3 linked regions of the Bombyx mori genome follow. The protein of the gene in region 1 interacts with the protein of each later gene in a pairwise test. Links are inferred from orthologs where the notes say so. Each region holds a gene or a part of one and is shown on either strand. Other genes may lie near its edges.

The links.
Region 2: the proteins of intersectin-1 (region 1) and phosphatidylinositol-binding clathrin assembly protein LAP interact in a two-hybrid assay, tested with the Caenorhabditis elegans proteins (3 studies listed by BioGRID). The link is inferred for Bombyx mori from reciprocal best matches to the Caenorhabditis elegans genes itsn-1 and unc-11.
Region 3: the proteins of intersectin-1 (region 1) and ATP-dependent RNA helicase SUV3 homolog, mitochondrial interact in a two-hybrid assay, tested with the Caenorhabditis elegans proteins (2 studies listed by BioGRID). The link is inferred for Bombyx mori from reciprocal best matches to the Caenorhabditis elegans genes itsn-1 and C08F8.2.

Annotation. Positions count from the first base shown.
Region 1 is NC_085117.1:613,689-624,071, forward strand, and holds part of intersectin-1, read right to left. Parts: intron 10,352-10,383; coding exon 10,274-10,351; intron 9,341-10,273; coding exon 9,142-9,340; intron 8,695-9,141; coding exon 8,614-8,694; intron 7,855-8,613; coding exon 7,672-7,854; intron 6,909-7,671; coding exon 6,804-6,908; intron 5,422-6,803; coding exon 5,359-5,421; intron 5,160-5,358; coding exon 4,985-5,159; intron 4,439-4,984; coding exon 4,273-4,438; intron 1,606-4,272; coding exon 1,442-1,605; intron 914-1,441; coding exon 778-913; intron 567-777; coding exon 474-566; intron 33-473; coding exon 1-32.
Region 2 is NC_085113.1:1,560,491-1,570,973, reverse strand, and holds the start of phosphatidylinositol-binding clathrin assembly protein LAP, read right to left. Parts: upstream 6,749-10,483; 5' UTR 6,575-6,748; coding exon 6,445-6,574; intron 5,966-6,444; exon of another isoform or gene 5,816-5,965; intron 1-5,815. Other genes in the region: uncharacterized protein LOC101743063, read left to right, coding at 8,461-8,682, 9,289-10,483.
Region 3 is NC_085119.1:5,364,748-5,375,230, reverse strand, and holds the start of ATP-dependent RNA helicase SUV3 homolog, mitochondrial, read right to left. Parts: upstream 4,702-10,483; 5' UTR 4,554-4,701; coding exon 4,133-4,553; intron 716-4,132; coding exon 595-715; intron 1-594. UniProt on the Caenorhabditis elegans protein: ATPase and DNA/RNA helicase able to unwind DNA/DNA, DNA/RNA and RNA/RNA duplexes in the 5'-3' direction.

The sequences.
Region 1 (10,383 bases):
TTTTGAGCCGTGTACGGATACAGCGCCACCACCTGCCAATTGATCGGATCAGGCTCAGTATCCTTCTTAGGTATTTCTTCTTAGGTCTACCTCGTCTTCTATATCCTTCCACATTCATAGTTCTCAGATTCTCTGTCACAGGTCCTCTAACATATTCATTCCGTATTCCACATCCATGGCAACATTCGCATCTCTGCTGCATACAATCGACTTTCATCCGCTATTTTTGTGGTCTAACAAGCTGGTCTATACTAGAGCTAGACTATATTCGTTGACCCTACTGTGGTAACCAACAGACAAAGACAGCCCCTTCAAACATGTTCTGCTGCTAATGTTATTATTGTCAGTGCGTTACGTCATTTATAACGCGATCACTTGTTGAGTTATAGAGAGGGAGAGAGAAGGAGAGAGGAAGAGAAAGAGAGGAAGAGAAAGAGAGGAAGAGAGAGAAAGAGAGAGAGAGGAGAGTGTACCTTGTCGATGACCGTCTCCGTGGGTAGAGCGTCCATCTTCGAGGAGAGCACGGGAGTGGTGCGGCCCGAGGTCCGCCCCGACGACTGCAGCACCTGACGTATGTATATAGAGATTATACACATCTGTCCCTCACGTTGAATCCACAACCCTCGAACCGATACTCGATGACACACTGCGCATCTATGACGCAACACAAACCCCTATCTTCCATGGGGGTAAACATAAATACCAGTTTTTTGACGAAAACAAAAAATCGCCTTTACTCCATTGCAATAAGAGCTATATTCGAGTGGCGCGCCTCACCTTGACGTAGGAAGCGGGGAACCAGCCGACCTGCCGGTTCCTGCCCTTGGCCTGCAGCTCGCCCTCCCACCAGCCGCTGTCGGCCTTCTTGCGCACCACCAGCAGCTGTCCCTTCATCAGACTCAGCTGCTCCGGGCTGGAGGCAGACATGACAATAACATCGGACATCGAGTACACAGACGAGCAGGATTGCTGCCGTCAATGGACAACACTCATATCCCGAGAATGGAACATTGGATATTTTTATTTATTGCTTAGGTAGGTAGTCGAGCTGATGGTCTTTTTATTTATTTATTTTTATTGCCCTTGTAGGCTGACGAGCATAGGGCCCACTTAATGGTGAGTGGTTACCGTCGCCCATGGACTTCAGCAATACCAGGGGCATAGCCAAGCCTACCGTTAAGTACTCCCAATAAGCCTTGTTTGAAGAAGGACATGTCATAGCGCTCGGGAAACACCGTGGAGAGGAGCTCATTCCATAGCCGGATGGTACGTGGCAGAAAAGACAGCTGGAAACGCACTGTCTACCTGATGTTCACTTATCATCGGAGTCCGTAGACATTCACCATGTCAAAGTCGACTTCCACCCTGAGTTTTAAGTCTTAGTTTAAACAGTACAACGGCTGCAGCAGTAATGGTGAGGGTCCCCTGGCGGGTGCGGTACCTGGTGGCGGTGTAGCTGGCGAGCGCCTGCACTATCTCGTGCTTGCGGCGGCCGGTGACGGAGTCGCGCCCGGAGTCGCGGCGCGCCCCCGCGGCGGAGGGGGGCCGCGCGGGGTCCGTGATCATGGCCACCTCTGACGATATCGGCGTCGAGGACTTCTGGTCCTGCGCCAACAGAAACGTCACAGATGTATATGCGAGTTCGTTAGAGGTCCATATCAGCTAGGTCAGAGATCGGGGAACCGTGGTAATTTATTTATTTTTTTATTTAATATATTTTGTACACACAGCTATTAGAAAAGACACGTCAATAAGGATACAGAGTACAAGGGCACTACTTATTTCATGCTGAAATCTCTTCCAGTAGGCCCGCAAAAGGAAAAAAGAATTAGGAACACAAACCTAGTGCATTTTATTTTTTTAATTGCTTAGATGGGTGGACGAGCTCACAGCCCACCTGGTGTTAAGTGGTTACTGGAGCACATAGACATCTACAACGTAAATGCAACACCCAGCTTGAAATATAAGTTCTAAGGTATGGTTACAAAGGCTGCCCACCCTTCAAACGGAAAGGCATTACTGCTTCACGGCAGAAATAGGCAGGGCGGCGGTACCTACCCGCGCGGACTCACAAGAGGTCCTACCACCCCAAATGGGGTAAAATGAAATTTTAGGGAGGAAAAATGAAATTTTTGTGAGTAAAAAGTATACATCAAAGTGAAACTTCTTTAGAATCGTTGTGATTTCAATCTCAAAACAAGAAATTATCATTTACTTATATTTTCTGTGGGGGCGATTTTTGTTCCTCAACTGTATATTACATATATTATTATTATTACCGTTATGTATTACTAGGTATTGCATTGATAAATAATGATGTTTAATGTGATGTTAATAAATGATGTTTAAATTATATTTTTAGTTATTGTTTTCTTTTCAAAACTATCATGGGGGCTATAGTATGAAAGATGCTATTATAAAAAGAAGCGATTTCGTTTTTATTTTTGCTCTTCGCCAGAGGGTAATATCAACTTACACAAAAATATTTTGGGGTAATAATTAAAAAAGTTCCTCGACCGCCGAGCTCGGTGGAAGATCTCGTTCCCTCTCTAAATAAGACTGCACAAAGGACAATGCCCATTTTCTATGGGCGTATGGGCCCCTAAAAAAAGTTGTCGCGTCATGATGGTTTTAACTTATTTTGATAGACAAAGAAATATCGTTTCATATTCAGAAAACTATTTTTATATTCTCACCCAGATTTAAGAGAAATCTGTTTTTTTCTGCAGCTAAAATTAAGTTGTTAATTGTTTTTTTCGAAATCAATAATCGCTCTCATAATTATTTACAGTATTAAATAAGTTAATTGTGGTTAATGTTGCTAGAAATAAGCCCTTACGTACATTTTATTATTATTATATCCTCATAATAATATTAAAATGAAATAAAAATCCGGAAGCCGACAACGATATTGTTGTTGTTGTTTTTAAATTCGCCAATAAGCAGGCAAAGCGCGTAGCCTATACAGCCTAGTCTGTCGTAGTTATATTTTGTATCTCTTTTTATTGCTTTTTGGGAGTTTTGACGTCAACTCGATGAATAGCTCATTGAGTGAGCGTGAATTTCCGCAGACCTTTTATCTTGAAAAAAAGAACAGTCACTACTATGTTAGCCACAGTTTTATTCCAATGCCTCAATAATCGTGAACAACGATTATTGACGTTTAATACACAAAACAACGCTCAATTTATATATTATACATCACAATAAACTATTAAAAAAACATAAAATAAAACTTCAAGTGACGCTTCACTCGGGTTGCTGCCAAAACTCTCTGATCATATTATTATATAAGAATAGAGTAATGGTAGGCCATTGAGATTTTCACTAATGGAATCATTAATATCTAAAAATATTAAATAATTCATGGTGTTAAGTAATAATTATTATTACAATATATAAATATTGAATTGAACAAAAATAAACTAAAAAGTCTGAATTATAACCATTACTTATTTTTTTTTAATTTGTTGTTCAAGTCACAGACAACTCTTTCGTTTGGCAGCTTATAGGTTTACTGTAAGGCTGTATGGGCTAAGCCCTTTGCCTATTGGCGAATTTAAAAACTATGCCACTAAGTTTTGGGATGTTAGTTATCAAATAAGTAATTTATTTTTTTGTAAAACAATGCCAGGTTTAAAGAAATGTTGATACATAAACTAAACAACGTAAAAAAATAAGGCATAGTTTTTCAAGTACAAATAGTTTTGACATAAAGTTGGCCCACTTTTGGGCATTGTCCTTTACTAGACTGCGGTCTGAATCTGTAGTTGCAGTAGAACTTTTTTTTAAGGGATTTTATGACCTGGTAACTAAGACCATGTCTTATTTTAACTTATATTCATATTTTTATGAAAAATGTTATTATGGAGTGAAATGAAATGAAGACGATTAGTTTGAGACATTAATCAACTTGGATGAAATTAAATGAAATGAGATGAGATGAAATGGGATGAAATATAATCTCAGTAAAATGGTGGTCATTTATTAAGATTTTTTCAGTGGACTTTTTGGAGGATCCCGAGAAGTATGTCCAACGGCTTTGTTTCATTTTCCCACACTTGTGCACAGATATTAAACAGTTAATAAACCACCATTATTACACATTTAAACCCGAAGAAACACTAAATAGACAAAATAAAGCAAATCACACAACTTCACTCCTCTTCTCGCGTTTCCGCCAAAAAGTCCCTAGCAGTAAAACTACTAGCCATTGGCTATCTACCTTCCAGAGTTCAAAAAGGGGGGGTAGTTTGATATTTTGGGGCTGACCTGAGAGGCAGGTATCGGCGGAGTTGTGTTGGGGGGCGACGTGTCCTCCTGCTCGGGCGCGGCGGGGGGTGCGGGGGACGCCTCGGCCGGGGCGGAGTCCTGGGGCTCCGAGGTGGCCGCGGGCGCTGCCTCCCGGGACACGTAGTTCGAGGGGAATATGCCGGTCCTGTGTGAGGAAATTGAATTTTTTTTTTATATAAATCTAAATTTCGTACGTCGTAAAGGAAACTGTGGTTTATCTCGGATATCGAACGACGCTAAAACGATTCCGAAAATCGTTACCGATATTTATAAAGTCGTTACGATTTTATTTTATTTTTTTATTATTTATGCCCGAAGTATTAACAAACCCTTCTTTTTTTTTTTTTTTTTTCCTACCTAAGCTGATAGCCCTAGCAGCTATGTCAGCGTAACCCTAACTTTAGTAGGTGAGCTCACGGGGCTCAAACCTGACGATGTTGCTAACACGAACCCTAGCAAGAGCCGTGCTTCGCAGAATCTACCACCGGATCGGAAACGCGACCCACTGAGAAGATCCGGCGAGAAACTCAGTGGGCTACAAACCCTACTTACTTAAACAAAACAAATAAGAGCCATTAGGTTGGATGTCGGCATCTTCCAATTTATAAAGTCCGACATTTAGATTCGTTTCGTTCTTAGTTTGCTAGAAGCACACACAGCACGGTGCCGCCCCCCCGTCCCCTCCACTGACCTGGCCCCGATCCTGCCGGTCCACCAGTCGCCGTCGCGCCGCACCACCTCGATCCTCTCGCCGGCCTCGAACACCAGGTCGCCGGGCTCCGAGGAGCTGTACGGGTACGACGCTATGTAGAACTCGCCGTCGTCTTCAACAGAAACGGGCTCGCTTACCGTCCGGCCGGGATCTACTGCGATCATTTATAAGTAAAATACGATCAAAAAAGAAAACGTTCCTATATGTTGGCACTGCAGAGCTGGTCTGCGGACCCTCGACCGCAGCAGAACTCCTGAACGGCCACTGGTAAGCCCATCGAGTTTGGGCTCGTTAGATTTGTCTCTACTAGCCCTATACACAGGGTGTGCGTTTTTTAGTGTGTGTTCACTGACCTACTGCCGGCAGCGCGCCCCCGAGGTCGCTGGTGGCCTCCTGTTCGGGTACCTCCGCTATCCCTGTGGAATGTTCGAGTAAGGTTTATTCGAGTACACTTTATCAGCGGTCACGGCTGGAGAAGTCCTCGAGAAACACAAACTCTTCTCCAAAAGTGACATACAAACTTTACAACACTTTTATATGAATGTGTATTTATTAAGATCTAGGGTCACGCATATTATATACTGTTACGCCGGTAAGAGTGACGCTATCTGTCGTCGAATACAAGAAGCGAATATTAAAAGCTCTAGTAATATCGAGAACGCTCGAAGAGTGTAACGCCATCTATTATCAAACAGCGAAAACACATATCGACACGACTAGACCTATCGGGAATGTTCTTGATAATCGTAGAGTTGTCGTATCGACTATAAAAGCGTTGCAGTGATGACGCGAAGTAATCGGATCACCTGAAGCGAAACGGAAGAAGCGAATTGCGATTTGTAAAGTGCTCTGAGTGTTAAATAGTTTTAATTTGTACTTCGGTGGCCATTTTATTTATCCCGAACCTCAGCGCGTAAAGGTACTGAGTATGTTTGTTTAGACAGCACTTCCTTGGGGGATTCAAACGCTCGGGTCGCGTGCACCGGGCGTCGCACACATCAGGCCGCGGACGCCTTTATAATAATGTTACCCCGGTAAGAGTAACGCCATGTATCACCAAATAGTCGAACGAATATCGAAGAATCTAGTAGCACCTAGAACGCTTGAGAAGTACAACGCCATCTATTGTCAGATAGCAGAGACACAATACTCGAAATGTGTGGAATATTCTCGATAATTCTAGGGATCACCTGAAGCGTAGTAGCGAATTAAGAATTTTAAGGTGTTTGTTAAATGTTTTAAGTGTTGAATACAATTTTATTCTGTACTTCGGTATAATTTTTTTATTTATCCCGAACCCCAGCGCATAACAATAATAACCGGGTACAAGTCATACCGGGACATCTGGCTCCTGGATCCCCCTATGGGAACTGGAGCCTGATATACATACTTATATACCAGGCCTGGGCAAATGGCGGCCCGCGGTAGAATTTCGTCTGGCCCGTGAAGCATTGTATATATCATTATTATTAAAAACATAAATATTAGTTTTTGTCTAACATAAATTGGTGCATAAATTTTTTTAGATAAAATATTAGGCACTACTGATACACATTATCAGGGCCGGTGGGAGCCAAAATTTTCTCCCGGACAACCGCTCTTTTCAGCGCCTCCTATTCGAAAATATAATTATGATAATTGAAATCACACTATGTATAATAGTCGCACAATATAAAATTAGAAAAAAAAAACAGTTTGGCCCGTAGGCAAATTTTCATCTGCAATGTGGCCCGACTATCAAAATATTTGCCCACCCCTGGTCTAGAAGGACCCCCGACCCTAGGTTCAGTCTCTTTACCTTCAAGCTGCGTCTTTGGCTCGAGGGTCTCGATGACCTCGGTGACGAACGCGGTGGGAGCGTTGAGGTCCTCCACGTACGATTCCGGGAACCAGCCGCTCTGACCTGGGACCGAGTTCAACCTTCATTTTGACATCTTGTGCGTACAACCTGTCCCTCCCGGATTTTGTCTCGAGGGGGGACCGGACTCTTGGGCGAGAGTGGAGGGGAGTCGTTTATAGGTGACCGTGACTACCTTAGTGGTTGCATATACAATGCCCCCCACTCCCCACCTGCAGTCCCCGTGGGGGTATCGACCACGCCCAAAAAAAGGTTATAGTACCATCAAGCTCATTACTGCCGTGAAGCTGTAACGCTTTAAAGAGTGCTGTGAAACTGATATTTTGACCTCATATTCATTGACCTCAAAGCTGATAGCGGAGTGTTGTAGCGGCGATGTCTCCAGATTCCGGTAAACACTTAACATCAGGTAGTGACATTCTGGTGGTAGGACCTCTTGAGAGTCCGCGCGGGTAGGCACCACCGCCCTGCCTATTTCTGCCGTGAAGCAGTAATGCGTTTCGGTTTGAAGGGGCAGCCGTTGTAACTATACTGAGACCTTAGAACTCATATCTCAAGATGAGTGGCGCATTTACGTTGTAGATGTAACCACTTAACACCAGGTGGGCTGTGAGCTCATCCACCCATCTAAGCAATAAAAAAAAAAGTGAGACCGTGTGGAGCGCTTCGTGATTTGTCGGCGCCGCTCGGAGCCGCTTCGGCAAGCCAATCGCGGCACACTTATTTTTTCGTTTCGTTTCATTTCGTTTCATCAAGTTTGAAATCACAACGATTCTAAAGAAGTTTATTATTGATGCGGTCCCCGTACCCCTGGCGCTGCCCCAGGCCCAGCCGGGCTCTGGCGCGGCGGGGGGCGCGCGCGGCACGATGAGGTCCCCGGGCTGCACGCTCAGCTCGTCGGCGCTGCGCCCCACGAACGGGTACACGCAGCGCCACCGCGGCGGCTGCGGGCCCTCGCCCCCGGGGGCTGCGGTCTGCACCGTCTCCGTGGCTGGAACGACGAAACTATTCGTTACAAAAAAATAGTGAAAACCTGTAGTTAGGATAGGTACCATCATCCTGCTTGCTTTCGACGCCAAATTACGTCAGCTTTTAAAATACAATCGAGATATCATATGTGATGTCCGTGGGTCTCATAAACCTCTCAGCGTCGAGCCGCGAGTCCGTCCATCGATTTAAAATTTTAAAATAGATTTATCAGCAGACCAGATATATATATATATATGAACATAAACAGCATCTGTAGTTACGCTAGGTCGAGCGCAGACGCTCATTCAGCGGGCCCGCAATGTACGACGTATGATTGGAAGTCGTTGACCTCGCGAGAATTTTTATTACATTACTCGCTCTAAAAAAATTAAAAAAATTGTGCGCGTGCAGCTTTGTGCACGCGAAAGAAGTGAAACCTCTTTTGCGGTCTATAGTATTATGATTTTTTTTTTAGAACCTAATCTAACACACCGTTGTCAATATAGCGGTTTATATGAAATCCGATAGATGTCGCTAAAATAATGTTACTGTCATCTATAGGAGGAATGAGAAACTAATAACACGCCAGTCGCCATCTAGTGGCCGACGCCCGTAAACAAAATGTGTGTAAGAGGAACGACCTAGCTCGCTTTCTCCCTCTCTGCGCGGTCGAGTGGTTCGCGAGACGCTCTGCCTACTCTCTCACTCCGTCTAAAGAAGTTTCACTTCATTAAGGTTAATAGCGGCTTCTGCACGTGGTCCGTGCGCCCGTGGACCGTACCGGTGGTGGTGGGCGCGTCGCCCCACGCGTCCTCGGCCGGGGGGGAGCTCCACGCGGCGTCCGCGGCGCCCCAGTCCGCGTCTGCACATTCATATAAATTAATAACAAACTACCCTCCAATTGAATTCTATTTTACTGCAATAATTCGACAGGTGAAAGGGTATTTGGGTTAAGCGAAATTTTTGGAACAACACAGGACTATTTAAAGTTTAAGCATTTGGTAAAAATATCATAATCATCAATCATTTACTGGTGGTAGGACCTCTTGTGAGTCCGCACGGGTAGGTACCACCACCCTGCCTATTTCTACCGTGAAGCAGTAATGCGTTTCGGTTGAAGGGTGGGGCAGCCGTTGTAACTATACTGAGACCTTAGAACTCATATCTCAAGGCGGGTGGCGCATGTACGTTGTGGATGTCTATGGGCTCCAGTAACCACTTAACACCAGGTGGGCTATGAGCTCGTCCACCCATCTAAGCAATAAAAATAAAATAAAAAAATGTGGTAGTAAGTGACGGAGTCCCTCACCGCTGCTGCCCCAGGTCCCCTCCGCGGGCGCCGTGTTCCTCCTCTCGATGTACTCGTTCCGTTTCTCCTCGTACAGCTTCCACACCTTCTCGCACTTGTCGCTGAGCGTCGCTACCGTCGCGTTCAGCTCCGCCAGCTGGGCCTCGTTGTGCTGCAGGTCCGCGGTCTTCGATTCAACGATAGCTTTGGCGGCCTCCACCTGCGTGGCGGGTACAGCGATGAAGCGAGCGCGCAATGTAAGCGAACATCGCGCGAGGTCGTCGACCTCGACTACGGAATGAACTTCGTCGTACATTACCGGGCGCTGCGATATTTGTTTTAGTGTGAACCACAAAAAAAAAATTGTGTGAACCAGTGGTTCCTTTTTTTCCCTACCTATGTTGATAGCCTTGAGAGGCTATTTCTGCTTCTCCTTGACGTGTAGGTGAGCTCACGGGGTTCAAACCGGGAGTGTTGCTAACACTGGCCCTAGTAAGAGCAGTGCTTCGCAGAATCTACCACCGGATCGGAAACGCGACCCACTGAGAAGACCCGGCAAGAAACTCAGTGGGCTGTGTCTGTGAGTTAGTTCGCTCGTCGAACTCTTCGTCGCAAGCGGTTCGACGAGGACGGTGACCGGTGTGGTCTCTAAGTAGTCGTAATGAAGTGATGAAGGATCTTGTAAATTTTTTAGAAACCAAAAATTTATAAAATTTAATCAATTTTGTCTATAAAACACCTAGTGAAAGTCATAATTTTGTATTGTTATTATTTTAATTGCTGACAAATAATTACTCGTGTTATTTTCATGACGATTTATATGTTTTGTATTTTTTACTAAATGGTAAATTTAATCGAGAGTGGGTAACACCGAACATGATTCCATTCATCATGGCGGACGAACATCAAAATCGATTCTCTCTTTAAATCTAAATCACTAATTATTATTGCAATCCGTGATTGTTTAAGCGAATTAACCGTCTGTATAACCACAGTGGTCCATGGTCAACACTGCGGTCTATATATTTCAACTTTTCTTGGAGTTCAACGCCCGCAATGAACTCCTGTGCTGACGAGTCCACGGGTCAACAGCCAAGTGGGACAATAACTGTCCCCCCCCCATAGATACCAGTTAGAATGTCACACAGCTCACCTTCTCCCGGAGTTGCTTGAGCGTGACCTCCATCATGCTGAGTTTCCCATCCTCACCAGCGCCCTCTGCGGCTTTAGCCTGAACCAAATAAAGAACATTAAACACCCTCG
Region 2 (10,483 bases), on another chromosome or scaffold:
ACGGAGCTCAAACCTGACGATGTTGCTAAAACGAAACCTAGCAAGAGCCGTGCTTCGCAAAATCTACTACCGGATCGGAAGCACGACCCACTGAGAAGATCCGGCGAGAAACTCAGTGGGCTGTGTCTGTGGGCCATCTACCCGCCGAGCCCTTTGACGAGAACGTTAAAATCCTAATGTCTTATGCCAGGTGCAAAGGTATGTGCAGACCTGATGCCTTCTGTCTGCCTTTCCGCTTCTCAGGCTTCTTCTCAAAATCAAACCCTAATTCTCCATTAGAAGCCTGGTAGTCAACAGGACCTAGAACTTGATTACTCAAAGTTAACAGGGAGAGTATCATGTACTGGTGACGTATTGAATCAAATGGTTACATTATGAAATAATCATAGAACAACCTGACAATATGTATTTGCATATTATGACACATTAAAAAACCAGTTTCTTCCTTACTAAGAACTTATCATTATTACAGATTTCAAAAGCAAAAAGTTTTCTATATTTCTTAACATAATTTATTCATACTAAAAAGTCTGATTGAAATTTATTTCAGATCTGAAATGAATTACAAAGATTAAACATAGTAGAATGAAGTTCACTGTGGATAAACAGTTACTGTAGGTGGTAGGTGTCAACAATGCTCCAATGGTACTGCTAATGATATGTTAAAAAATGGACAAACCTAAAAGACTAAGACCAGAAAAAATATGTGCAATTAGAGTAGTTGACCAATCACTCATCAGTATCTCAAAAATAAATATCATTTTTAATTTAATCACACTGTTATTCCATAGATTTGTAATAATTTCATTGTCACCATTTGTTGTAACCAAACTTTCTTAAATCACTATCTTGATTACTAGTAGTAGAAGGCTTGTCAGTGTGAATAGAGCACTAAAATACAATTTCTGGCCCAATCATGCATTCCATATTGAAGTTAGAGTTGCCAGTTAAGTCAATGCAAACAAGATTTTCAATTTATCATTCACAATTGGGAATGGAAATAAAGTTTAGGTGTCCATAGTCTCTAGTGACTGCTCAATACTTGAAATCATTTGGGAAAACAGGCCTACTAATGCTACTAATGATTTAGAACACACAAAAAGTAGTGTGATTGTTTTAGAAAAAAAAATGCATTTAAATATATTTTTCTACCTTACACCTGCCATATCAAGAATCCCAATTGGACTTTTGAATACAAAACTATAAATTTCTAGTTATAACCAGCCAACTTTATGAAATAATAGTCATCTGTAGCTTAACAACTTATGTTCTAAGCAAGTTTTATTATTATATATGTTATGTTCCTTGCATAAATTAGGATTTCCTTTTTGAAGGTATTTTCTAAAAGTTGTTTATAATTACAATATTTTTATACATAATTAACAATAAACTCAAGCTCATAAATCATTGGATCTAAAAACTTACTAAGAGATAATTAATTTAATTCTATGATATTTTGATACCTAAATTAATTTGGGGGTTGGTGCTTCCCGCTTCCGTAGGTTTAACCCGCGATTCCCTACAAGTGACCCCTGGGTGGTGCTAAACGGGAGCCGAAAACATAACCGGTGGTAGGACTTAGTCCGACTGGCTGGCGACCACCCTCCAACTAGAATCCGCCGCCAAATAGCCTAGCTGTGTTCCGGCGTGTGGGTTGGAGAGCCAGTTCTATCCCTTCCCTTTCCCCTTCCTTGTTGGGGGTGAGTCTTGGTTACGCCTGGAACTTGCGGAGCAGACGTGCGTGCGAACTCGCGGGGCGTGATTGTTTGACGGGGGTATAGGGAGACCCAGTGAAACGGTATCCGCTGCCGCCCGCCGGTCAGTAGGGGACCTGAACCCGGGTGTCTCTACTAAACTCCGCCCCGGGAAGCTGTCCCGCCAACCGGTGTAAAATTCTGCCGTGCGGTCGTCGTGCCGGAGTCGGAGACCGGAGTGGATCCCGGCGATCGCACGCAGAGTGGACTGGGGGCCCTTCCATGCCCTGCGTCAGTCTCTCACGCAACCCGTGGTCGAGCACGTACTATGTTCCGCGCTTCATTCAGGTGTTGCCTCGATCTCACCTCTAACATCCTACCTCTCCTAATCCTACTCTCCCGAAATATAACAACTTAATGAAGTCGAAAAAAAAGAAAAGGGTTTTACAGGCGGCTCCCCATTCCACATTTAATGTGGATTTCAGCAATGTCAGGGGCCTACATAGCAACCTTGACGCCGTACACCACCACCTTGAGACGGCGCAGCCTGCCCTGCTTTTTTTAACGGAGACGCAGATATCTGCTCCGGATGATACCTCATACCTTGAATACCCCGGCTACGTATTGGAGCACAACTTCCTGCGTAAAGCCGGGGTGTGCGTATTCGTCCGGGCTGATGTCTGTTGTCGCCGTCTTCGGGGCCTCGAACAACGGGACCTGTCCCTCTTGTGGCTGCGCGTAGATCACGGGGGCCGTAGCCGAATCTACGCGTGCCTGTACAGGTCCCACAGCAGTGATGCAGGTTCAGCTCTGTTTGAGCATGTGCAAGAGGGGACTAACCGCGTGCTTGAGCAGTACCCATCTGCGGAGGTGGTGGTTCTTGGAGACTTTAACGCTCACCACCAAGAGTGGTTGGGGTCCAGAACCACTGACCTCCCGGGTCGGACTGCCTACGATTTCGCCTTGGCCTACGGCTTCTCCCAGCTGGTGACACAGCCCACCCGTGTCCCAGATATCGAGGGGCACGAGCCTTCTTTGTTGGACCTTCTGCTGACCACAGATCCGGCCGGATACAGTGTGGTGGTCGACGCTCCGCTTGGATCGTCTGATCACTGCCTTATTCGTGCTGCCGTTCCACTCTCTCGTCCTGATCGTCGAACGACGACCGGGTATCGAAGAGTTTGGCGGTATATGTCAGCAGATTGGGATGGATTGCGTGAATTTTACGCATCCTACCCATGGGGGCGGTTCTGCTTTTCCTCTGCTGATCCTGACGTCTGTGCGGACCGTCTTAAAGACGTGGTGCTCCAGGGGATGGAATTGTTTATTCCCTCCTCTGAAGTGCCCGTTGGGGGTCGCAGCAGACCCTGGTATAACAATGCCAGCAGGGATGCTGCACACCTCAAGCGGTCCGCATACGTGGCATGGGATAATGCCATGAGACGTCAGGACCCTAACATCTCAGAGGAAAGGCGGAAATATAACGCCGCTTCCAGGTCCTACAAGAAGGTTATTGCCAAGGCGAAGTCGGAGCACGTTGCTAGAATTGGCGAGCGACTGAAGAGCTATCCCTCTGGGAGCCGTGCTTTCTGGTCGCTCGCCAAAGCTGCAGAAGGAAACTTTTGCAGGTCTAGTCTCCCACCACTACGCAAGTCCGATGACAGTCTGGCCCATAGTGCGAAAGAGAAGGCTGACCTTCTGGTCAAACTCTTCGCCTCGAACTCGACTGTGGACGACGGGGGTGCCACACCACCGAACATCCTCCGGTGTGATAGTTCCCTGCCCGAGATCTGCTTTACACAGTGTGCAGTCAGGCGGGAACTCCGACTCCTGGACGTCCATAAGTCGAGCGGGCCAGACGGCATCCCTGCAGTGGTTCTGAAAACGTGCGCCCCTGAGCTGACGCCTGCGCTAACGCGTTTGTATCGCCTCTCTTATTGCACTAACAGGGTTCCGTCTTCATGGAAGACTGCCCACGTCCACCCTATCCCCAAGAAGGGTGACCGGTCGGACCCATCGAGCTATAGGCCTATCGCGATAACTTCCTTGCTTTCCAAGGTGATGGAGCGAATAATTAATATACAACTCCTGAAGTATCTGGAGGATCGCCAGCTGATCAGTGACCGACAGTACGGTTTCCGTCACGGTCGCTCAGCTGGCGATCTTCTTGTATACCTTACTCACAGGTGGGCTGAAGCCTTGGAAAGCAAGGGCGAGGCTCTTGCTGTGAGCCTTGATATCGCGAAGGCCTTCGACAGGGTCTGGCATAGGGCACTTCTATCGAAGTTACCATCTTACGGAATCCCCGAGGGTCTCTGCAAGTGGATCGCTAGCTTTTTGGATGGGCGGAGCATCACGGTCGTTGTAGACGGTGACTGTTCTGATACCATGACCATTAACGCTGGCGTTCCACAAGGTTCGGTGCTCTCCCCCACGCTTTTCATCCTGTATATCAATGACATGCTGTCTATTGATGGCATGCATTGCTATGCAGATGACAGCACGGGGGATGCGCGATATATCGGCCATCAGAGTCTCTCTCGGAGCGTGGTGCAAGAGAGACGATCAAAACTTGTGTCTGAAGTGGAGAACTCTCTGGGGCGAGTCTCCGAATGGGGTGAATTGAACTTGGTTCAATTCAACCCGATAAAGACACAAGTTTGCGCGTTCACTGCGAAGAAGGACCCCTTTGTCATGGCGCCGCAATTCCAAGGAGTATCCCTGCAACCTTCCGAGAGTATCGGGATACTTGGGGTCGACATTTCGAGCGATGTCCAGTTTCGGAGTCATTTGGAAGGCAAAGCCAAGTTGGCGTCCAAAATGCTGGGAGTCCTCAACAGAGCGAAGCGGTACTTCACGCCTGGACAAAGACTTTTGCTTTATAAAGCACAAGTCCGGCCTCGCATGGAGTACTGCTCCCATCTCTGGGCTGGGGCTCCCAAATACCAGCTTCTTCCATTTGACTCCATACAGAGGAGGGCCGTTCGGATTGTCGATAATCCCATTCTCTCGGATCGTTTGGAGCCTCTGGGTCTGCGGAGGGACTTCGGTTCCCTCTGTATTTTGTACCGTATGTTCCATGGGGAGTGCTCTGAGGAATTGTTCGAGATGATACCAGCATCTCGTTTTTACCATCGCACCGCCCGCCACCGGAGTAGAGTTCATCCATACTACCTGGAGCCACTGCGGTCATCCACAGTGCGTTTCCAGAGATCTTTTTTGCCACGTACCATCCGGCTATGGAATGAGCTCCCCTCCACGGTGTTTCCCGAGCGCTATGACATGTCCTTCTTCAAACGAGGCTTGTGGAGAGTATTAAGCGGTAGGCAGCGGCTTGGCTCTGCCCCTGGCATTGCTGAAGTCCATGGGCGACGGTAACCACTCACCATCAGGTGGGCCGTATGCCCGTCTGCCTACAAAGGCAATAAAAAAAAAAAAAAAAAAAAAAAATAATCAATTGATTAGTAGTAGAATAAGTAAGTACCATTTTGATTCCATTTATCTTGATTATCTTCATAAACTTCTATATTATGCTTTCACAATTTAGAATTGTATAGATTTGCTTATTATGAATATATTGTTTTTTTTTTATTGCTTAGTAGGGTGGACGAGCTCACAGCCCACCTGGTGTTAAGTGGTTACTGGAGCCAATGACATCTATAACGCAAATGCGCCACCCACCTTGAGATATAAGTTCTAAGGTCTCAAGTATAGTTACAACGGCTGCCCCACCCTTCAAACTGAAACACATTACTGCTTCACGGCAGAAATAGGCAGGGCAGTGGTACCTACCCGCGTGGACTCACAAGAGGTTCTACCACCAGTAAATAAAGTAATATTACTAATATATCAGATAAAAAAAATTTGAAAAAAAAATACATTCTAAAATTACTTACTAATGATCTGGTTAATTAACTCTCATAAGCAAATATCACCGCCCTGCCTATTTTTGACTCAAAGCATTTATGTGTTCCAGTTTGATAGGTAGAATTAGCAATGTAATTGAGATTTTAATCTCATATCTCAAGACGAATAACAGCTTTCACGTTGCTATGTCTATCATCTCTTATAATCATTTAGCACCAAATGTACCTAGACCTTGTTATTTTTTGTTTTGATTGATATGTTATATATATACACATATCAATCAATTCTCTCACTGGTTATGATTTTTTTATTATTATTGAATCAAACATAATCTGAAATCCTAGCAATCAGACTTAGCCAGTGTTAATAAATATAATCATTTAAAGAACTAAGATATTTTCCAAGTAAGTAGTTACTGCCAATTTTGTCATTTGTTATTTTGTATTGCATCTTCTGTTATTTTATTACATTAATTTTTATATTATAATTATGTGAGGAAAAAAATCGAATTCAACACATAGGTTTCCGATGCATTATTACATAAATCCAATAAGCAGGTAGTCTACAAACAAGTTTTATTTTCAATCAGTAACAACTCATCTTCCTACCGTGACATAATGTGTGTCAAGAGGCATTACTATGGGACTGGTTTGTGTTGAAAAATATTTCGACACGCAAATTAATGGTACGAAGAATGAGAAACACGTAATATGTTATAGTTTTTCAAGCGAGCAACTGAAATGTAAACTTGAATGCGCGTCACAGATCGCACATCTGTGCGAGGCTCCAGAGTTATCGAGTATCGACCGTCCGACCATTGTCACACGATTATGAACTAAAAAAATTATAACTGTTTTGTATCTTAGGAATTCTTAGTACTCACAATCTAAATGTTTCTTTTTCGGCGCTATCATTTCTTCTGTAGTCGCTTTGCAGACGGACTTTGCTAATCCCTGCCCGGCGATGCTGTGTCGGGCTGCTAACAGCCTATCGTTTATTGTCTGACCCGCCATTTTCACGTTATGTATTAAAAAAAATAATTTACACGTTTATACGGCACTATTTTCAGGTGTTTTTCGATTAAATTCACAAAATTATGACGATGACGGGTAAAATATGTCACCGCCCCCCCGACTGGCACAATACTAAATTCAAGATGGCGATTAGAACTGGACGAATGCTGTCACTGTTCACTAGATAATGATATTCCTAAATTGTCTATGAGTAATGTGAAAAACAAAAATGTTGATTTCTGGATTAATTTCTAATTTTTTTTATTGCAGTTGGCGAGAAGGACTTACCGCTCAACCAGGGCGGATGGATGAACTCAAGAGCGCAGTCGGGAGGTAACGATATGCTAACAACTTTTCGAGCGCTTCTAAAGGAGGCTTATCAATTTAAGGGCAGCTGTTTCGTGAATACATATGAGACCAGATCTAAATCTTGACCGTCCGAGAAAATTTTGGTGTGAAACTTAACGGATTAAATGATAATTAGTCGGACTCTTCGGCGAGTTCGACGGTTACGGCGAACTTTGTTAAAATTGCTGCTAGCGGGCATTTTAGTAGTGTCCAACACCACCAAGACTGAATCAGAACGATCCGTGAGGACATGATAAAGACGTCACTGGTAGCTGGCTGCTGAGTCAACTGGCGTGAAGGTGTAGCTAATGACATATACGATAAGTCGGTTATCGTGTCGTACTGCTGATGCGAAATAGCCCTTTTCTAAGTCCTTACATTTTTATAAAACACAAACGTTAGAAAATCCTCCACTAAGCGCCAACTCAAAAAATACCTTACGTATTGCTTTTGTTTCTCTATTATCTTTGATTAAAAAGATAGTTAACGCACACCAGTGTCGGTTCCTTCAGAAACCATTTACATCTTGTTTTACTCTGTGCTTTTAAAGGCTTTGTATGTATTGTAAAAGTCTACTTTACTTTGGGTTAACAAGTATTAGGTATGTACATACAACATTATTTTAACAAATTATGAACAAACCCAAACCATTTGTTCCAAACAATGTAATCTAGCTTTCTTAACTTAGCCATTGGAGTACCATAGCACGTGAGAAATGTCACGTTTAAGGAGTTCATGACTCCTTCAAGAAGTTTAGTTTTTGAACCCTTCCGCTAGTATACGAAGACAGCGTCGGAAAGCTCCTTCATCTCGGTAATTTGGCATGATAGCTCCCTTGACAACAACTCTGAACAGTCTTACGCAGCACCCTCCATCCTATCATACCCTACCATCATCACTCCAAGCAAGTCCTGACGGACCACCTGATTCTAGGTATAGTGGACGCTACTAGTCTAATGACTACTGTTATCACTAGTACAATAACAAAGCACTGCTCACCGTGTTGCCACGCTTGATATACATATATCATAGCACAAGTTTGGTGAGTTTCTGAATGGGTTGCGACTCCGATGTGATGTAAAAGCATTCGCGAAGCAACCCTCCTTCAGCTATTAGGCTTTCTTTGGGGCTTCTGGGGTCGTCCAAGACTTTGGGTTAGTAAACTTTCTCTTTTGACTTATCCCTCCTGTTCACCCATCTGTTCTTGCTGGGCGGCAAGATCTTTGTATCTACCAAGATAATTTCTTCATATAAAGGCTTTAGGTGATTGCCATAGTGAAAAAGGAGCTGTTATGTTGGCAGCACTTATTGTTTTAAAGTTGTAGCACCAATGTTATCGGCCATGTTGTCACTTGCTAAATGTGGATTATAAATATTTCCGACAAAAAGTCTTGAGACTGAGAGTTGTTTCTCTTGATTGAACACATAGCTTTATAGTTTAAAAGTGTTTTTATTCAGTACACCACTTATGGGATCGAATTTATTGCGTGGCATGCTATAATACAAGCAATAGTAATAAGTGTTGAAAAACTTTAATAATGGCTAAGAAAAAAGCGAAGTCAAAATCAAAGAAACAATTAAATTTTCAAAAGGGATCAACGAAAAACGTACCGAACGATCTATTGGTATCTGCTGTATCAGTCATGCCAGTCATGGCAAAAGTATGCAGGTTGTGCGAAACGAAAGATGGTCCCTTTTTAAATATTTTCGAATCTGATAAATCAACTGCTAAGAAGATAGATGAACTAATGCCTTTTGGGGTATGTTTGCAATCTGTATTCTGATAAAACTGAATTATCAACATAAATAAACAAACACTGCTCGAATTAAATATGAAGTCCCCACGAATTTACCTGTTAAATAGTTTAAATTTAAATGATATTCATTTATGGCATCTTTTTTTTTTACCTGATTTTAAGTACATAGTGGCTATGAGAGCCCATTGACAGCAAAAAATAATTCTGCGAATGATTTTAGATATATAATAAAAGTCTCAATCAGTACTCAGGCTGTCCAACTCATCAAAGGAAACATGATTGCTTTGCATTGGAAATGGGCAGGATGGTACTGCCCTTGTGTATGTTTACAATAAACAGTATGCTCAAGTACAATACCTCCTCTTTTGAAGGAAAAAGTAAATTTTTAGGCCCTTTTTAAATTTGTTTCATGTAATGAAGAAAAACTTAAGCTAGTGACTGAGTCATTGAAGAAAAGAGTTTTATAAACGACATAATATCCTTGCCTTTACTAAATTATGTAGATAACATAAAAATTAAGATTATAATTATTCAGTCTTGATTTTGATTGATCTTTTATTTGCTCACGTTTGAAAGTTAATAAATAATTTATATAATGAATATTTGCAGATTTCTGAAAATGATGAATTACCTCACAAAATATGTTTCCGGTGCTCAGCTAAAGTTGAAGAGCTTCATGAGTTTGTACAGAAATGTGTCAAGACACAAGAAAATCTCCTAGCTGCTACTGGTAAAAAAGATTTACTAAACACAAAAACAAAAACACGAGAACAGTGGGAAGAAAAGCTGAACAAAACTAACTTGTCGAATGATGACATCTGCGATGCTCTCATAAGAAAAGCTATGGAAGCTATAAAAGATATGCCATTAAACCAATCAGTTGTAGCAGAGGATAAGAATTCTCTACTTGGACGAAAGGTGCGAGCGGAACCCCAAACAAATAACATTTTAAAATTGCAGGCCAAAACAGAAGACAGTAATGCTGCTGTGAATCTCAAACCTGTAAAATTGACTATTGAAAAATGTGACCAAAGGGTTACTCGGTCGGGGTCAGATAAAATTGTCAATAAACAAAGTAAAAAACTTGACACTATAAATACAAATTCCATTAGCACACCAGAGGTACAAGATAGTCAAAAACCTGAAAATAGTGGAAAAAAAGATACAACAGCTGAAAATATTGCATCTGAGGAAACTACAAAAGAGGAAGTGCCATTTAACATAATGGATCATGTAAGCACAATCAAAGTAAATCAAGTAGGAGTACTCTTCCAATGTAAGTTATGTAACCGAAATTTCTTAAAAAAGGAAATAGTCGAAAGTCATTTTTGTGCCCGAAATGGTGCTCCCAAAACTGATATTACAAAACACTTACCCCCTCCTGAACCACCAAAAGCCACTAATACTGTGAAATATTTTAAAATGGACAGTGAAAAACGTATTATGTCAAATGGCAATGATAGTGTTACATCAAATAAAGAATGTAAAGAAGTGCCAGCTGAACGAGAACTTAATAAAGCTTTAGAAGAACCAGTCAAGCCTTTAGCTAAACCAAAACCCAAAATAGGCCCTGCAAGTAAAGTAAAAAAAAACCAAATGGAACCATCTCCTTGTGTAACTGAAACCCCTGAAGTAACTATTCTCACCCCTACCGCACCCCTTGGAAATTTTAAACTAATGCCTAATGTAAACTCAAGCTACAATTTAATGCCCAGTCCAAACTCAAGGTACAAGATAATGCCTGGTCCAAACAATTCTTTTGTATTAGTGGAAGAAGGTTCAACTTCCAAAGCTGCAAGTGAGG
Region 3 (10,483 bases), on another chromosome or scaffold:
TATGCCAGTAAAAGGTACAGTACACTGGGATAATACTTAATGAATGCTGCTGCCTATTCTCAGCTGAATCCCTTAGAACATTTATTATGAAAAAGAAAAGTGCTTTTTTAGATTAATGCTACACTATGTAATTCACTTTCTTTTTTTCCCTGCCTATGCTGATAGCCTTGAGAGGCTATTTCAGCTTCTCCTTGACATTTAGGTGAGCTCATGGGGCTGAAACCGGAGTGCTGCTAACACTGGCCCTTTTTCAAGGGCAGTGCTTCGCAGAATCTACCACTGGACCGCAAACGCGACCCACTGAGAAGATCCGGCGAGAAATTCAGTGGGCTGTGTCTATGGGTTAATCTACTCGTCAAGCCCTTCATTGCAAGTGTCAAGTTCCATGAAGACGGTGTCAGGTGCTTGCAGTACGTAAAACCATTAATGGATTGGGGAGATCCGTAATGACACATTTCTACTGATTTTGACAGTCAAATTATTATTCAGGTAATTCACTATTTAAGCTATTTACTTTAGTTAGAAATCTTTAACTTTTACATTTTAGGATTAGAGGGGGAAGGGTGAATTTTATTAGCACTAGAATATATTTACCAGTTTGCTGGTGTTCTCAAATCTGATATCTTTTTCAAGTCTTCCAAGCAGTCAAGGTGCGGAAATGCTCGTCTTGCATGCCTCAAGAAGTATGGAAACAAATCATCAACATGTCCTGCACCTAAAATGGATATTTAAAACATTTATTGCCCTTGTAGGTAGACAAGCATACCCACCTGATGGTGAATGGTTACCGCCGCCCATGGACTTCAGTAATGTCAACCAATGAGGTTGGTCCCTAGGCATGGTAGAACCAAAATAACCCATCAAGCAATTGGCAAATAGAAGGGCAACAATGAAATGAGAATGAACTGCTTTGATTCATTCACAGAGTAAGAGACTCATACTAATTGGACTAAATAAGCACATTTAGGATGTCATGCATAATCAAAGTAACAAAATGTGTAACAATAATGCTCAGAGACTGCAACCATATTTTGGTTTCCAGGAATCCATTCTTCATCCTTGCCAGTCCTCACTTATTAAAAACCGTTAATAGCACAAAAACATTACACTGTTTACAACTATTATGTTAATATTCTTCTATTCAGTTTTAAAAGTAATCTTTTTTTTTTTTTTATGATTGAAGGATTACTGGTGGCCCGGAGGCCTTTCCAGTTTCACCAGGACAGGTGGGCGAGCAAAGGCTCAGCCAGGAGGGGTGGGATTTGCTAACAGCTACCCGAGCGCCTCCGAAGGAGACCTAACAGCTCAAGAGCAGCTGCTTCGCGAATGAATCTACTACCGGATCGGAATCGCGACCCGCTGAGAAGATCCGGCGAGAAACTCAGCGAGCTTATTCATGGGTTAGGTTGCACGGCGAACTCTTTGTCGAGTTCGACGAGTACGGTTACCGAGGTCCCTAAGCCTGCTCCTAGAGCTGAAGGCGTCTAGTGCGAAGGTTATTGGATCTGATGGATCCGTAAGGACGTGTCTAGGGCGTCGACGGTGACTGGCTCCTGCATGATCAGGATTCGGGGAGTAGTCAGCGGCGGCTACGATAAGGCGATTATCATGACGCATAGCCTTATCGAAGTACCGTTCCGACGCTGACTTCATGTATTTCTGTATAGATTCGAGGCCCAGGTCGTCGTGTAGGTCAACGTTCCTCACGAACCACGGAGCTCCGACGGCTAACCTGCAAAAGCGGGATTGTAGAGATTGAAGGGTGTCTATGTGCGTGCGGGCCGCGTGAGCGAACACCACACTCGCGTAAGTCATGACGGGCCTTATGCAAGTTTTGTAAAGTGTCACCTTGTTCCGAAGGGACATTTTACTCCGCTTACAAATCATGGGGTAGAGTCTACCGAGAATAAACGCGGCACGGTCACGGACTGATTTTATATGCGGGCGGAATGTCATCGATGCATCCAGGGTAACGCCCAGGTACTTGACCTTCCTGGCCCAGGGTATGGATTGACTAAAGAGAGTAATCGGGGGTGTGAGATTCCTCCTCCTAATACGGGAGGAAATCCGTGTGGAGCTTCCCCTCTGAAAGAGCACCGCAGTACTTTTCGCTGGGTTGATGTCTATGCGCCATTTTCGGAACCACTGTCCTAGGGCTAGGGCTGCGCTCTGAAGCTTCTTCGCGATTAGGGACTTGTTTCTACTGGAATAGTAAACAGTCGTGTCGTCGGCGAATAAAGCTAAATGGGTCGGCGGCGACCGGGGAATATCGTTAACGAATAAGCTAAATAGGAGGGGTGAGAGGACAGAGCCTTGCGGGACTCCAGCTGTGAGAGGTCGTGGGGAGGAGCGGGTTCCCTCGACTCGATATCGAAAAGAGCGGTTCGACAAGAAGTCCCGTATGATGAGCACGAGACTATCCGGCACACCCATGTTGAATAGTTTGAAAATCAAACCGTTGTGCCAGATTTTGTCGAACGCTTTTGCGACGTCGAAGAAGAGAGCTCCCGTGTATAACGGTTTTGGTCGATTAAGCCCCACAAGAATGTGCTCCGTGAGGCGGTGCACCTGTTGAACGCATGAGTGATTTGTACGGAATCCGAATTGTTCATCGATGAGAATGCCCTTGGATGAGACGAAGTCTCTGAGGCGTTTGTAGAGCAGACGCTCATACAGTTTGCCTAGAGACATGAGGAGGCTAATCGGGCGGTAGCTCGTCGGATGATTTTTTGGTTTACCGGGTTTATGTATGCCGATAACGTCCGCTTCTTTCCACACCGCGGGAAAGATACAGTTCGCCATAGCGGCATTGAAAATAGATGCCAACATCACGATGAGTTGGACGGGTAGAAGTTTAATAACGCGGTTGGATATACCGTCGGAACCGGGAGCCTTGCGAGGACGTAGGTCTTCGATCAAGTCTTTAACTTCCATCGGGGTGACGGGTGGTAACACATCAGAGGGTGGCAAGGAGGCTCTGCGTTCTACCTCACTGTCTACTAATTCTACATGCACAGGGTCCACGGATTGAGTGCTGGGCGTGCACTGGGTTTGCAATGTATCGGCCAGCAGCTCTGCTTTTTCGTCATCATCGAACGCCGTGAGTCGGCCTGAGGGGCCTACGAGGGGGGGCATAGTTACTACCGTATCCGATTTGAGAGTACGAGCTAAGCGGTAGTAAGACCTTTGGGAGGGCGCGAGTCCTTCTAAGAAATCAGACCATCTGTCATCTCGGGCTTCGGCGATGCGAGACTTTACGTCGCGTTGTAGGGCACGCATTCGAATACGATTTTCCGCGGTAGGATACCTGTCGTAGGCGCGTATCGAGGCGTTCTTAGCTCTAAGGAGTTCCCTAATATCGTCGGACAATTTGAAGCGGTGAAGGAAGTCCTCCGCTACAACTTGTTTCGATGACCTATCTAATGTCGAGGTGATGTGTGACGTTAAGATGTCTATGGCTTCAGCGGTATCCTGGGGAGACGGGGTAGAGTCCGGGCTAAGCGGTAGCGATGGTGGATCAGATTCAGCCAGGCTGATGCCCAGCGTGTGCCAATCCACCACAGTCCTCGTGACGGGAACGGAATCGGGAGCGCGACCGAGCTTCATAACGACGGGACGGTGGTCTGAATCTAACTCTGAAACTACTTCGATCGAGTGTAAGCGCAGAGTTACGTTTTTTAATAACGCTATGTCGAGTATATCCGGGCGATGCGCGATATTTAGCGGGTAGTGAGTCGGGATTAGCGGAGCGACGATATCGAAGGCGAGATTATCGACTAACGCGTCAAGCCGCCTGCCATTCGGGGTTGTGGTGTGTGAGTTCCACCTAATGTGTTTACAATTTAGGTCGCCCGCCAGAATGACAGAGCTCCCCATGCCGAGCAGCGCCTCGATATCACTGCTTAGAACGATCTTATCCGGTGGAAGATAAACGGACGCGATAACGATCGGCGCGTGTCCCGTCAGTGAGATTCGGCACACTAAAAGTAATCTAAGTTAAGCATAGACATATTGAGATATTTTTTTACTGAGGTTTGCTATAGATATCTAGATTTATTTATTAAGCAGTATCTAATAGCAAAATAAAATCAACGAATGGGAGTTTACACTATATAAATTCAGTTAACCTTACCTTGAAGTATATCACTGATCGTAATATGTAAGTCTGGTGGTAAATCATGTTCTAAACAATGCCGTCTGAATGAAAGGAAAGCTTGATGTAACAATTGATCATCCAATCCATTTTCTGAAGCAAGCACTCTGATTTCAGGTTTTTGGTAAAATTTGTTAAGAATTTTTAACAAGTCTTGTTTTTTTAGACGTCCTGTAAATTCTTCACCAATGTTTATGTCATCGGAGTTTGGTTTCACTGGCACTGGCACAAATAAAGCAGAAGGATTCCGATCATGTTTTTTAGTTCTTACCAAAATATAACCTATACCGGCGGGTTTGAGTTTACGGGCGCACAAGATATTACATCTGAGATTTGATACATTAAGTTGTAATTTTTCTACATTATGAAGGGCTAATATTCTGGAAAACCCTTTATACATTTTGAAATAAATAAAAGTAAATTGACTAAGAATTTATGTCGTTTTTGTCACATTCCGATAGCCCAGTGCTGCCAAATTTCAGTCGTTTTTTTTTTAAGAGATTTTATGACCTGGTAACTAAGACCTTTAAGTCATGTCTTATTTTACTTTATATTCTTAATTTTATGAAAAATGATAATATGGAGTGAAATGAAATGAAGATGATTAATTTGAGACATTAATCAACTGGGATGAAATTTAATGAAATGAGATGATATGGGATGAAATATAATCGCAGTAAAATGGTGGTCATTTACTGAGATTTTTTCAGTGGACTTTTTGGAGGAACCCGAGAAGTTACGTCCAGCAGCTTTGTTTCATTTTCCCACATTTGTGCACTTTCACAGATATTAAACAGTTAATAAACCACCGTTATTACACATTTAAACCTGAAGAAACACGAAATAGACAAAATAAGACAAATCACACAACTTCACTCCTCGCGTTCCCGCCAAAAAGTCCCAATTTCAGTGGTTTTTTTTTTTTTTTTTTTTTAATTTTATGACCTGGTGACAGAGACCTTTAGGTCATATCTTATTTGGAAAATGTTCATTACTTTGGGGTCACTACACTTCACTTCACTAAATTTTGTCATTTAAATTGTTTGAATTGTCTTTTTTATGTAATTATAAATAGGTTTATAGGATGTTGGATCTTTTAGTAAAAAGTTAAGTGGCGGCGGGCGGGAGGAAGAGACACACTTAAATGCATTGGTATCACTAAGTTCACTAGCCAGCACAAGTCTTTGAATTAGGAAACTTTGGCAATCGAAAATAATGTGATGGATCGTCCCTTCTTCTGCTTGACAGTGTATACATTGGCTATTTGAAACAATGCCAAGTCTTGCTAGGTGTGACGGCGCAGTATTATGGCCAAATCTCAATCTGTTTATTGTTGTGATGAAAACTCGACTTTCACTAGTTTTCAATTTTTCATACCATGGTTTAACAGGCAGGTTATCTTGGATACTTCCATACCACTTTCCCTTGTTTTCCTGATCTTTCTTCCACAATTCCCTCCACAGAGTGTAAATGTTTTCTTTAATATTTAGAAAATAGTCAGTGAAAGGTACGAGTAATGAGTCTGTAACGTCAATACTGTTTATAGCCTCACGTGCAGCTTTGTCAGCTTTTTCGTTGCCCGTTATGCCTCTATGTGAAGGAACCCACATAAATGCTATATTTACATTCTTATGATGACATTTATACAAAAGCTCTTTTATAATATACAAGACGTAATTAGTTTTATAATTTACAGATATATTACTTAAACTCTCTAGCAGGCTTAAAGAATCAGTTATTATTAAAAAGTTTGTACAGCTATTAACCACAGTAATTCGCAGTAAGGCTTGATAAACAGCATAAGCCTCTGCAGTAAAAATGGAACAATATTCATTCAAAACAAAGCTTTGAGAAAACCTAGCCTTTGAATCATAAAATGCTGCATGCACATAGTTATTCCCTTTGCTGCCATCAGTATATATAGTGTAATATGTATAGTTTTGTGACAAGAACTGAATCATATCAGAATTGCTATTAATTGTACTTGAGATTATATTTACTGGATATGAAATGGAGTGATAACTATTAGAGTAACATGGCCAAAGGGACTGTTTACTGATCTTTTTATACTTATTATCTATTTCCAGATATATTATGGACAAAGGTGGTGTATATTTGTTAAGGGTTATTCCAGTTAATAATGAAGGAGGAGTGATGTCTAGGTATGGTGCAATTTTTTGAACTATTTGCATATTATTAGAAGATAGTAATTTGAGACAGTATCTGTGTGCAAGTAAGAGACGTCTCAAGATTAATGGCATAACTTTTGTCTCAACTTCCATGGCCCTTATGGGAGTTGAGCACATTGCACCAGATATTATTCTCAAAGCTCTGTTCTGTAATATATCAAGTTTACTTGCATGTGGACTATTCAAATAAGCAAGAGAGCTATAATCAAAATGGCTTCTGACAATCGATTTGTATATTAAAGACAGTATTTTGGGATCTGCACCCCATGATACTCCAGCAAGACATTTCATAACATTAAGACCTCTTAAAGCATTTTTGGAAATATGATTAATATGTGATTCAAAAGTTAATTTCTGATCTATTATTATTCCCAAAAATTTTTTGCTGGTAACCTTGTTTATAATTTCACCATTATAAATGACATTATAGATTGGTGTATCCTTGCTGAATATCATTACGTTGCTCTTGGATGGATTAATTTTTAAATGTAGAATGTCATTGTAATAATAGAACAGTTGGGATAAAGCTACATTAATACTGTCTATTGTTACTTGTAAATTATAGTCACTGCTATACAAAACGATGTCATCAGCAAATTGTAGAATATTTACATTATTATTTACATTATCTATAAAGTTGCAGATTTCACTTGTGTATATATTATACAATAACGGAGATAAAGTAGCACCTTGCATTGTGCCTTTCGAGGCAGATTTTGGACCATATAGGATATTATTGTATTTTACATACACTGTCCTTTCATTCAAGAAGTTATATATCCATTTGCAGAGTTGTCCGGGTATTCCTAGCCCTGACATAACTTTCACAAGTATACCAGGATCTATACTGTCAAAGGCACCTTGAACATCAAGGAATATACAAACAGTATGTAAATTTTTTTCCTTCCCATGTTTCAGATCAGATATTAAAGAGATAAAACTATCAGCACAGCTTCGCCCTCGCCTAAAGCCATATTGGACATCAGGAATGATATGATTAGCTTCCACATACCAGTCAAGACGGACTTTTAACATTGTTTCAAAAATTTTGCCAAGACATGAAGATAAAGAAATTGGTCTATATGAGCTAGCAAGTTCTGGTGCCTTGTCTGGTTTGAGTATCGGAATAACACACTGTGTTTTCCATGCCTGTGGAATATAGTTGTTAAGCCAAAGTAAATTGAGGATATCTAGAAATAATTTTTGAGCTGATTCATCCAGATTTTTAATCAATAGGTAAGGGTAGTCATCCATACCTGGTGTTGTATTGCGTCTAGATTGTAAACTTATTGTAAATTCTGACCATGTAAAGGGTTCAACCAAAAATTTTGAATTATGATTGTCATTGTTTAAATTAAAATAAATATTCAAGTTACTGGTCTGAATTAAATTACTATTGTCTGTTAAGTTATCCAAAAATGAGGGAATGAATTCATCTCTATATGACCTATTGCCAGTTTTAACACCTTTAAACATTTTAAGTAAATTCCAAATCTTACTAATGGGTGTTGTTCTACTGAAAGTATTAGTTAGATTATTCCAACCAATTTTTTTCTGCTCTGCTATTGTTCTTTTTTTCTGTGCATCCTTTCTTTTATAGTTAATATAATTCTCTATGGATGGCACATTTCTATATAATTTGAGAGCATTATAAGATGCAATGACACTTTGTTCACAAATATCATTCCACCAGGGTGTTGGCAAACGGCTTTTGAAACTATTTGATTTTGTAAGTTTAGGAATTGTCATAGTTTTTAATGTATCCAAACAAGAACAGAAAGCACTATAAGTTAATATAGGGTCATTTGAATTTAGGATAAAATTATTGAAAACTGTTCTGGAAAGAGTGTTGTATTTAGTCCAATCTGCCTTATTATATAAAAATCTGTCTACTGGCGAACCAATGTGATATTTATCAATAGTTAAGGAAATTTCTGTTATTGTAGGGTAATGATAACTTCCCATGGCATTGTGATGGACAGACCACTCACACATAGATGCAAGACTAGCACTGACGAAGCTAACATCAATAGCAGAAGGATTTCGTCTAGGATAGTTGACAGTTGTAAATCTACCATCATTCAAAATGCATAAATCTAAGTCGTCAATAATATTAAATAAGCTGTGACCTCGACTCTTACTAGATAAACAACCAAAAGCTATATGATGAGCATTAAAGTCACCACTTACAAATATTGGTTTTGGAAGATTATAAATTATACTCTGTAATCTATTTAGTCTGATATGACGACTAGTAGGTGGACAATAAACACAAAGAACAGTCAAACTACCACTTACTGTTGATAAAGACAGGGCAGCAGTTTGAATGTCCTCATAGAATGTAGTGTTAATAATATTGTATTTGAGGTATGGTTTAATTAATATTGCCACACCATTATGACTATTGTTTGAATTTCTGTTATAAATATTGTAACCTGGTATTTTAAATTTGTTATCTTTGAACCAGGTTTCATTAAGTAGACATATATCAATGTTTTGTTGTTTCAAGAATTGAATGAGCAAGGGTTTTTTACTATTGGCACTTTGAATATTATACTGAGCAATACGTATCTTAGACTGTGAAGGACCTAGATCCATTATTTTAGATTTTTAATTAAGATATCCTTAATTGTTTTCACTGTAGTAGGTGAATTATCACCCTTATTGCCTAGCTCCACCAATGTCTGTACAAGGGCCATAAGTACATCATTGTTGGAGACAATTTGATTTTTAATATTTTCTAAAGGCAATAAATCTTGTTGTTTATTTACATTATCTACATGTGTATTTACAGGCTTATTTACAGAATTATATAGAGGCTTATTTACAGAGTTATATACAGATTTATTTACAGTATTATATACAGGTGTTTTTGATGTTGGAAGTGGAGGAAAGTCATTGTTATTTACTTGCTTGGTTGAGGTAGCACTTGCATAAGTAATTTTGGATTTTTTTTCCATAATTTTCTTTATTTTAATTGGACATACTTTTGAAATGGCAAGATGAGGTCCGCTGCAATTTGTACAACAAATTTCAGTGGGCTTGTCACATTCCTTGTATAAGTGCTCACCTCCACAAATAGAACATTTTTGTTTACTGTTACATATTTTAGCTGAGTGGTTAAACTTGAAACATTTGAAACATTGTTGCAATGGTGGTATATATTCAAAAACTCTATAAGAGAATAAGTCGTATTGAACATTGTCTGGTAGAATATTAGATAAGAAAGTAATGCTTACAGTTTGTAAAGGAACATGCTCATGTCCTACTTTCTTTGTAAATCTTCTGATAGCAATAATTTCATATATTGACGATAGCCTACTGTACAACTCTTTATTAGAAATGTTAGCTGGAACGAATCTTATTATTCCAGTCTTTTCAATCTGCGCAGCAGGAATGAAAGCTCTCATGTCATATTTTTCTAAGAAAGACGAATTCTTAATAAAGTTATTTGCTGTGTTATATTGTTTAAAAATAACTGCTATTTTATTGGCATTCACTCTTTGAATTGCCGTCACACCTTTAATTTCCGTTGCAAAAACGTGGTTTAAGTAAATAGGGCTCTTGTTGCCCAGTCTGTCCTTATTAGTTGCTTCGACAAATACTTTAAACTCAGTATTAGCAGAGTTCTCCGGATAAAGTCTTTTATAGTTTGGTTTAAAAAAAGGCAAGTAAGAGTCATTACGCTCACCGCCTCCGCCAACGCCAAAGTCCACCTTGGGGTCACCACCACGATCCTCAACGCGAGGACGTTTATTTGAGGTGGGCGGGTTATCCCCGCCCCCCTCGTTACCCTCCATTTCTAAGGGTCACCACTAATAAATTCAACTATTTACACAGTATTTTTATGAAAAAATAACAAATTTGAAATATAAATGAAAAAATTTTCAAATTGTACGCGCGCTCTTTTTGGAGTTCCCGCCAAAAGTCCCAATTTCAGTGGTAGGTAATTTAAGCCATAGATTATACACATAATATATTTAAGCAATGTCAAAATGTCATAGTACCTACGTGACGATATTAATGATAATAATCACTGAAGTACTTTAAAGGACAAACCCGAAATCCATACAAACTTGGGCCTGGCGTTACAGTGCTAGAATTTGGGCATAAGTTACAATACCTAAGAAGGTTTCATGAG